2 linked regions of the Rattus norvegicus genome follow. The protein of the gene in region 1 purifies or fractionates together with the protein of each later gene. This does not show direct contact. Links are inferred from orthologs where the notes say so. Each region holds a gene or a part of one and is shown in the gene's direction. Other genes may lie near its edges.

The links. The genes of interacting proteins can lie anywhere in the genome.
Region 2: the proteins of Irf7 (region 1) and Trim21 purify together in Homo sapiens (affinity purification with mass spectrometry; 3 studies listed by BioGRID, with this or other methods). This does not show direct contact. The link is inferred for Rattus norvegicus from reciprocal best matches to the Homo sapiens genes IRF7 and TRIM21.

The regions. Positions count from the first base shown.
Region 1 is NC_086019.1:205,796,924-205,801,850, reverse strand, and holds Irf7 (interferon regulatory factor 7), read left to right. Parts: upstream 1-1,827; 5' UTR 1,828-2,230; coding exon 2,231-2,244; intron 2,245-2,327; coding exon 2,328-2,490; intron 2,491-2,574; coding exon 2,575-2,785; intron 2,786-3,124; coding exon 3,125-3,180; intron 3,181-3,250; coding exon 3,251-3,413; intron 3,414-3,574; coding exon 3,575-3,670; intron 3,671-3,877; coding exon 3,878-4,267; intron 4,268-4,352; coding exon 4,353-4,471; intron 4,472-4,551; coding exon 4,552-4,707; 3' UTR 4,708-4,895; downstream 4,896-4,927.
Region 2 is NC_086019.1:166,395,986-166,400,921, reverse strand, and holds the start of Trim21 (E3 ubiquitin-protein ligase TRIM21), read left to right. Parts: upstream 1-1,550; 5' UTR 1,551-1,613; intron 1,614-4,936. UniProt on the Homo sapiens protein: E3 ubiquitin-protein ligase whose activity is dependent on E2 enzymes, UBE2D1, UBE2D2, UBE2E1 and UBE2E2.

The DNA.
Region 1 (4,927 bases):
CAGTATCCCCCTGAGTTTAACTAGTTTCTATTTAAAATTTTTGTTGGTTTTGGTGTTTTTAAAAAAATTACTTGGGGCTGGAGAGATGGCTCAGTGGTTAAGAGCACTGACTGCTCTTCCAAAGGTCCTGAGTTCAAATCCCAGCAACCACATGGTGGCTCACAACCATCTGTACTCTTCTGATGTGTCTGAAGAGCGCTACAGTGTACTTATATATAATAAATAAATAAATCTTTAAAAAATTACTTTTATGTGTATTAGTGCATGATCTACACACATATCTGTATGAGGGTGTCAAATTTTGGAGTTACAGTTGTGAGCTGCCATGTGGGTGTTGGGATTTGAACCCCAGTCCTCTAGGAAGAGCAGTCAGAGCCCCTGACTACTGAGCTATTTCTTAGTTTTAGCTTCTTGACCCAGCTGGAACAAGAACAATTTATCACTAAATATATGACCCCCCTTCCCCTAGAGGTAAATTGCTAATAGTGGGGGAGGGGCACCGGGCCCCTCCCACACCTATGATGAAATGTTACCGGGACCACTTTTGTGGTGGTCTTGTGCAGTGAGTTCACAGGTGGAATGGCTATGTCTTGCTCAGAGACATATTTTGCTGTACAACTCCATTTTCGGGCATTCGTTCTTTGTACACCACCTTGGGAGATGTCCCTTGAGCCTTGGAGAGGGTGACAGAGACGGCTCCAGCATCGCTTATTCTTTGCTCTTGGGCCAGTTACAGGATTCTACCCACTGTAATGAGAAGGTTCTCTTATGAAGGATGGACACAATCCTAGACTGTGGTGATATCATGTGTATGAGTGCATCTGCCAGAAGAGGGCATCAGATTCCATTATAAATGGTCGTGAACCAACATATGATGGCTGGGAATTGAATTGATTCTGGAAGAGCAGCCAGGGCTCTTAACTACTGAGCAGTGTCTCCAGCTCCCAGGGTCTTACTCTTTAAAGCAGGCTGGCCCCAACCCTTCTGCTTCAACCTCTCCCTGGATGGTATATTCTTATCTGTACCATTCTCAGTGTTAAGCCAAATTGTACCATAGCCTCTCTTTAGACTCCATTTTCTAAGACTTTTCTGCAAGCTAAACAAAACAAACAAACTGTTGTGGATATCCCTGCCTTACCCTGATATGCTTTCCTGAGGAGGTACAGGGAAAGACCTTTCCTACACTTCCACCAGGAGCTGAGCCCAGCAAATATACCTCCACCTACCACTCCTACTGTCCTCCAAGACTTGACCATTCTGTCCAAAGTAGGGTCAGCCTCTCTCAGTGAATCTACAAAGGGCCTGGGAGACTGAATCTGAGAGCTGAGTGCTTCAGATTTGTGACACCCCAGGGGCGTGTGGAGCCCTTAGGCCACACCCTGCAGCATTCCACCCCGCCCCTGACCGAAGTACTATAAAAGCACGGCTACCTCCTTCTCACTGAGATAAAACCGTCCCGGCGGCTCCGGTACCAGGTATGTGGGACCCTTGGGCCACTTGGGGAGGGAGGTGAGATAGTGCCACAGGGGAAATTCTTGTCCCCTCTACAGAGTAGTGAGCGATTGGGGAAGGACAGTGAAGAGAGACTCGGGGAAACAGGAGGGCAGACTCCCTGGGAAGCATTTGCAATTGAATCTGTAGGGGTTGGGCTCTGAGCGAGGGTCGGGTGGAAGTCGAGGACTGCACCCGTCCGCGAAGGCCCGGAGACAGTGAGGCCCGCAGCTTCACTGCGCTGTTGAGCTGTTTGGACAGTTTAGGTTTCATTTTCCCGAGACGCAGTTTCGTTTCACTCGCCTGGGCCCGCCCCTTTTATTCAACATGTCTTTGCAGGGTCCAGCCTGTGACAGCCCATCCAGGCCCGGACGCTGGATCAACACCTGTGACATCACATGTGCGCTCCCGCTGCTACATCTGTAGTCACATCTACAGCCACCTTGGCCTAGGAATCCACACTTAAATTGGGAACCTAGGTGGCTATAAGTTCTCAAACCTCATCTGTGACCCTCAACACCCTAATACCTGGGTCACACTTGTGAAACTTCAATTCCCACCTGTGACCAACAATCCTAACGTTTAAAACATATTTATGAAACTTGGTTACACTATCTGTGGCTAAAACCATAAAGACACCCAAGGGACTCTTACCTTATTTGTAATACTGCCTCAGTGACTGCAAGTCATCAGAGTAGTAGCACCTACTTTCTCCCAGACTGCCCGTGTAGAAGGAGCAATGGCCGAAGTGAGGTGAGAACATGCCTACCCTGGTTGTATTGGGTCCCATATCCCTTGCATTGGCCCTAATCCTAGCATGGCTGCCCTGCTTGCAGGGGGGTCCAGCGAGTGCTGTTCGGAGACTGGCTCTTGGGTGAGGTCAGTAGTGGCCGGTACGAGGGGCTGCAGTGGCTGAATGAGGCTCACACAGTCTTCCGTGTGCCCTGGAAGCATTTCAGCCGTAGGGATCTGGATGAAGCTGATGCACAGATCTTCAAGGTGGTACCCAATCCTGCCCTCCTTATAATCCGCCACAACTCCTGGGGAATCCAGCCTTAACCCATGCTCTCTCCTCTCCTTCAGGCCTGGGCTGTGGCCCGAGGGAGGTGGCCACCTAGTGGAGTTAACTTACCACCCCCAGAGGCTGAGGCTGCTGAGCGAAGAGGCTGGAAGACCAACTTCCGATGTGCACTCCGCAGCACAGGGCGCTTTATCTTGCGTCAAGACAACTCAGGGGACCCTGCTGATCCGCACAAGGTGTATGAACTTAGCCCGGAGCTTGGATCTACAACTGGTGAGGAGGGCCATAGATAGGGAGGGCCGTACACGGCCGCTGCTGTTTTGGTTGCTTCAATGGTTTGACTTGTGGTTTTTGAAACTAGTTGTAGATTCAGTTCCTCTCCTTTCAAGGTGTGTGTGTGTGTGTGTGTGTGTGTGTGTGTGTGTGTGTGTGTGTGTGTGCGCGCGCGCGCGTGCACGTGTGCTTGCACTTCCTCCTAAGTCAGAGCCTTGGGCTGAGTGAGGTGCTTTGGGAACAGAGGGTGTGAGGAATAGAGAACTTTTGGAACTGCTCAGGCACCATAACCAAGTTACACATCAGCCTCAGATCCGAATCCTCTCCCTTCTCCTTCAGGCCCAGCTCTGGAGAACAGGGAAGAAGTGACCCTCAGCAGTGCCCTACCCACACAGGTACAGTCAGGTTCATTCTTTCTAGGTGTGGGCGATTGGCAGCCGCCTACCACAATGCTTTCTCTTGCAGGGTATGTCCCTAGGATCATTCCTGGCAAGAGGAAATGCTGGGTTGCAAACCCCAAGCCCTCTGCTTTCTGGTGATGCTGGGGACCTCTTGCTTCAGGTTCTGCAATACAGCCACCTACTGGACTCTGAGTCTAGGGCGGACTCAGTCCCACCACAGGCTTCTGGTGAGAGACAGGAACTATTACAGAGCTGGGGTCAAGCTAGAGAACCCCATCTGCCTAAGGCTATGAGAGGGAGGACCACAGAGCCCTTGCTGGGAGGAGGAAAGATAAGGGTGCTAGAATGACAGGGGTAAGATTGACAGGCAGCTCCAACTTGTCCTCAGGCCAGGAGCAAGAACACCTTCCTGAGGAGCCCCATGCAGCATGGCAGATGGAAGCTACCTCCAGCCCCAGGCTTCAACACCCAGTTCTGATGACTGGTGAGGAACCGGGGACCTGTTGGTGTGGGGTAGAGCTGAGGTGCTAGCACAGCTCTTCTCTACTACATACCTAGATCCTAAGCAGAATACTGCTCCACTGACCCTCATACCAGTGCCCCCAGTGGGAGGCAAATAGGTCCTTGGCAAGGAGTGTGGGCAAAATGCCTACCCATACCCATTACTCAAACTTGGTCTATATATACCCAGAGCGCAACCTTGGGTCCCTGGATGTGACCATCATGTACAAGGGCCGCACAGTGCTACAGGCAATGGTGGGGCACCCCAGATGCGTGTTCCTGTATAGCCCCGTGGGCTCAGCAATAAGAACTTCAGAGCCCCAGCCGGTGATTTTTCCGAGCCCCGCTGAGCTCCCAGATCAGAAGCAGCTGCACTACACAGAGACTCTCCTACAGCATGTGTCTCCAGGCCTTCAGCTGGAGCTTCGGGGGCCATCACTATGGGCCCTGCGAATGGGCAAGTGCAAGGTGTACTGGGAGGTGGGCAGCCCTATGGGCTCCACCAACCCCTCCACCCCAGCCCAGCTGCTGGAGCGCAACTGCCATACTCCCATCTTTGACTTCAGCACTTTCTTCCGAGGTCAGTGAGGTGTCTGTCTGGGGTGCTTGTCCTTTGGGGCTTGGAGCCTTTCTTAACCTGCTCACCAGAGTGATCTCCTTAACAGAACTGGAGGAGTTCCGGGCCCGGAGGCGACAAGGATCACCACATTACACCATCTACCTGGGTTTTGGGCAAGACTTGTCAGCAGGGAGGCCCAAGGAGAAGAGCCTGATCCTGGTGAAGGTAGAGCCTGGGTTTGCCAAGTAAAGATGTGTGGGCTGCTGGGTAAGCTGGGTAAGAGCCCTAACATGTACTTTCCACAGCTGGAGCCATGGCTGTGCAAGACACATCTGGAAGGCGTGCAGCGTGAGGGTGTGTCCTCTCTGGACAGCAGCAGTCTTGGCCTGTGCTTGTCTAGCACCAATAGTCTCTACGATGACATTGAACACTTCCTCATGGACCTGGGTCAGTGGGCTTGATTCAGAACCCCAACTTCCAATAGAGTTCAGAACCACTGCTGCCCTGGCTCAGGCTTATTCCTTGGCTATATGTCATCTCTAGTGGACCTTGTGGAGTCCCTTGAAAGAAGGTGACCCCCCACTCCCTACACACTAGGCCTCCTTTGTAGCACTCATCTTTACAATAAAGAATTGGTTGGGTTACCATACCTCTCACTGGATACAAACGCTTTAAGACAGG
Region 2 (4,936 bases), about 39 Mb from region 1:
ACTATGAGAGTAAAGGGCTACCCCATAATTCTGATACACTGTCAAAACCAGCAACTGGTCAACCCTCTGTCATCTTTCTTGTGCCTCTCCCACACCCATTGGTCCTTTCCTGTTCCCAGCTGTCCTCCTTCTACTTCTGTATCTTTGGGGCTTCTTAGGTCACTAAGTTAGAAATGAGTAAAGAATGCTTTTCCTGTCCTGGACAGAGTGGACTTGGGTACCACTGAGACAACTTGGGTTACTGAAACACATTCAAGTTAGTAAAGCCTGACTAAAACCCAAAGCATAAATATCTCACTTCACCAAAACACTGATAATGTACTAGACAGTCCTATCAATGACATTAACTCTTCCCAAATAAATACTTGAGTCATTTCGCCCAGGGGAAGGAGGGTTGAGATATCAAAGTACTAGCTGAGAGTGAAGGAGATTTTGTTCTTCAGGAGTTTGGGTCTTCAGATAATTACCAAGGTGGGAGCTGAGGCAGCTATGAGTATATTACATTGGTCATCCTGTGTGCACATTATAGAGTATTTATCACCACAACCCTAGGGTGTGTATTAATCTCTCTATCCAGTGTGTAAACTGAAACAGATAAGGCGTCATCTAGTGGTAAATAGAAAAATAGACATTGACTCTACCACTACCTTATTTTGGGACCCAAGTTCTTTGCCTGCAGGAAATAGCGACAGATCTTCAGTGGTGTGAAGCAGAATCATTTTCTGATGTTTGCAGATGCCTTTGTCCTTTCAGATGCTTGACTCTGTTTTTCATTCTGCTTCCTGGAGCTGTTGTGTTCCTGGAATCAAGTCCCAATACAACAGCACAATCTAGACAGTAGATGTCGCCTGGTGACCTTTTACTGAGAAGGATCTCTTAAACAGGGCTGGAAATTTCAAAGCACGGAATGCTTTTATTTCCTAAATATGATAAATGGCAAGGAAAATTCACCTGATGGTTTTAGCGCAAATTATAATACAATCAATGTCCACAAGTCTCCCTTCATTGCTACAACACATACCCTAACATCATTAGGAATAAATTTCTCACCCTAGACTATTTGAAAAGAGGGGAGCAAAACGAGAAGACAGAGGGATGGGAAATGGGCATATGTCAAGCATACTGTGCAATTAATATATGTTAACAAAAACAGTGCCAGGATCTTTCACCCGGATTTTAAAGAACTATCAGTCTTGTGGGAAGATCCCTCTAGAAAAGATAGTAACTCCTCTCCCATCCAGACCTCTTCTCCCAGATGCTCCCAGGTTTGAAGTAAAGACCAGTGTCAAAGGTCGATATCCTGTAGATTACAGTCTGTTAAAGGTGACAAGGAGGCCTTAGAGAGACTGCACCCAAGAAGACATTAACTGAGTTTTCCTTTGCCTGTGGCCTGAAGTCAGTTTCTGGCACCTCTGACCACTCTCCTCCCACTCTCTGCCCAGTCTCCGCCCTATCTGCCTCCAAGGCTTGCCAGTCAACTCCCTGTTCCTCCCCTTGCTCCTCCCTCTTCCTTCTAAGCTTACCTCTGAGAGGAAACTGAAAGTGAAATTAGACTGCGGGCTTGCAAAAGTGAAGCTGAAAACAGCCTAGCCAAGTCTGAGGACCCTGGTAAGGTGAGTGAGGATGGGACCCCTGGCCAGACTAGATGGGCTCCCCCCACCCCACCCCAATGCCACAGATTCAAGGAGCCGCTTCCCACTAGCGCCCTACACACGGAATTTCCTAGCCCACCTGCTGCTTCTCTTCAGCGGAGTTCTCTAGTCCCAACCCTGCCAGGCTGCCCGTGCTTCCCTGTGAAAGCTGGTCTCTGAAATTGACTTTCCTAGTGCCATGAGCAGGAGAAGCAGGGCGGTGACCTAGTCCGGGAGGGAGAGGGGAGGGGGGAACTCGGGGAAACCCCAGCCCCTTGAAGACCCTCGATTGAGGAGAGTGCTAGCCACTTAGAAATTTCAGTGGGTTTAAGATACTCAGCACCCTAAAGGAAGTTGAGAGAAGTACTAGGCTTGGAGGAGCTTAGAGAAGAGCCCAGGGAGTGCTCCCCACAAATGTCAATAGATGAGCATACATACATATTCTGTACATAGACATTTAGATAGAGGAACGTATGGGCATGCCTACATTGATGCATTTGTGCTCAAGTGTAGCTTACAATGGAACATATCAGGGTAAATAAAGACATCAATTTGTGTGTGTGTGTGTGTGTGTGTGTGTGTGTGTGTGTGTGTCTGACACACACACACACACACACAAGCCTAATAACTGGGAAATATACTCTTAGATGATGTACTCAGGATAATGAATGCACATCTTGAAGTTTTTTTATTGGATTTTTTTTTATTTTTATTTCAAATGTTATCTCTTTCCTGTTTTCTCTTCCATAAACCCCCTATTCCACCTCCCCTCCCCCTTCTTCTATGATGGTGTTCCCCCGCCCACCCCTTACCACCCGCCTGCCCAGACATTTCCTACACTGTGATGTCAATTCTTGGCAGGACCAAGGGCTTCCCCTCCCATTGGTGCCCCAAAAGGCCATCCTCTGCTACTTATGCAGCTAGAGCAATGGGTCTGTCCATGTGTACTCTTTGGGTGGTGGTTTAGTCCCTGGGAGCTCTGGTTGGTTGATATTGTTCTTCCTATGGGGTTGCAAGCCCCTTCAGCTCCTTCCATCCTTTCTCTAACTCCTCCAAAGGGGACCCCACTCTCAGTTCAATGGTTGGCTGTGAGCATCTGCCTCTGTATTTGTCATGCTCTGGCAGAGCCTCTCAGGAGACAGCTATTTCAGGTTCCTGTCAGCATGCACTTCTTGGCATCAGCAATATTGTCTAGGGTTGGTAGCTGTATGTATATATGGTCTGGATGCCCAGGTGGGGCAGTCTCTGGATGGCCTTTCCTTCAGTCTCTGCTCCAAACTTTGTCTATATATTTCCTCCTATTAATATTTGTGTTCCTTCTTCTAAGAAGGACTGAAGCATCTGCACTTTGGTCGTCCTTCTTGAGCTTAATGTGATCTGTGGATTGTATCTTAGGTAACCCAAGGTTTGGGCTAATATCCACTTATCAATGACTGCATACCATGTATGTTTTTACTGATTGACTTACCTCATTCAGGATGATATTTTCTAGTCCAATCTATTTGCCTATGAATTTCATGAAGTCATTGTTTTTGATAGCTGAGTAGTATTCCATTGTGTAGATGTACCACATTTTCTGTATCCATTCCTCTGTTGAAGGGCATCTGGGTTCTTTCCAGCTTCAGGCTGTTATAAATAAGGCCGCTATGAACATAATGAAGCATGTGTCCTTGTTATATGTTGAAAAATCTTTTGGGTGTATACCCAGGAGTGGTATAGCTGGGTCCTCAGGTAGTACTATGACAGTTTTCTGAGGAACCTCCAGACTGATTTCCAAAATGGTTGTAATAGCTTGAAATCTCACCAACAATGGAAGAGTGTTCCTCTTTCTCCACATCCTCGCCAGCATCTATTGTCACCTGAGTTTTTGATCTTAGCCATTCTGACTGGTGTGAGATGTAATCTCAGGGTTGTTTTGATTTGCATTTCCCTGATGACTAAGGATGTTGAACATTTCTTTAGGTGCTTCTCAGCCATTTGGTATTCCTCAGTTGAGAATTCTTTGTTTAGCTCTGAACCCCATTTTTGATAGGGTTATGTGGTTCGCTAGAGTCTCACTACTTGAGTTCTTTGTATATATTGAATATTAGCCCTCTATCAGATGTAGGATTGGTAAAGATCTTTCCCAATCTGTTGGTTGCCATTTTGTCCTAATGACAGTGTCCTTTGCCTTACAGAAGCTTTGCAGTTTTATGAGGTCGCATTTGTTGATTCTTGATCTTAGAGCATAAGCCATTGGTGTTTTGTTCAGGAAATTTTTTCCAGTGCCCATGTGTTCGAGACTCTTCCCCACTTTTTCTTCTCTTAGTTTGCGTGCATCTTATTTTATGTGGAGGTTCCTGGTTCACTTGGACTTGAGCTTTGTACAGGGCAATAAGAGTGGATCAATTTGTGTTCTTCTACATGAGGACCTCCAGTTGAACCAGCATCATTTGCTGAAAATGCTATCTTTTTTCCATTGGATGGTTTTGGTTCCTTTGTCAAAAATCAAGTGCCCATAGGTGTGTGGGTTCATTTCTGGGTCTTCAATTCTATTCCACTGGTCTATCTGTCTGTCTCTGTACCAATACCATATACTTTTTATCACCATTGCTCTGTAATACTGCTTGAGGTCAGGGATGGTGATTCCCCCTGAAGTCCTTTTATTGTTGAGGATAGTTTTTGCTATCCTGGGTCTTTTGTTATTCCAAATGAATTTGCAAATTGTTCTGTCTAACTCTATGAAGAATTGAGTTGGAATTTTGATGGGGATTGTACTGAATCTGCAGATTGCTATTGGCAAGATGACCATTTTTACAATATTAATCTTGCCAATCCATGAGCGTGGGAGATCTTTCCATCTTCTGAGATCTTCGTCAATTTCTTTTTCAGAGACTTGAGGTTCTTGTCATACAGATCTTTCCCTCTCTTGGTTAGAGTCACAGGGAGGTACTTTGTATTATTTGTGACTATTGTGAAGGGTGTCATTTCCCTAATTTCTTTCTTAACTTGTTTATCCTTTGAGTAAAGGGAAGCTACTGATTTGTTTGAGTTCATTTTATATCCAGCCACTTTGCTGAAGTAGTTTATCAGGTTAGGAGTTCTCTGGTGAAAATTTTGGGGTCACTTAAGGATACTATCATATCATCTGCAAATAGTGACTTTTTTGACATCTTCCTTTTGATTTGTATCCCTTTGACCTGCTTTTGTTGTCTAATTTCTCTGGATAGGACTTTGAGTACTATGTTGAACAGATAGAGAGAAAGTGGGCAGCCTTGTCTAGTCCCTGATTTTTAGTGGGATTGCTTCAAGTTTTCCTCCATTTA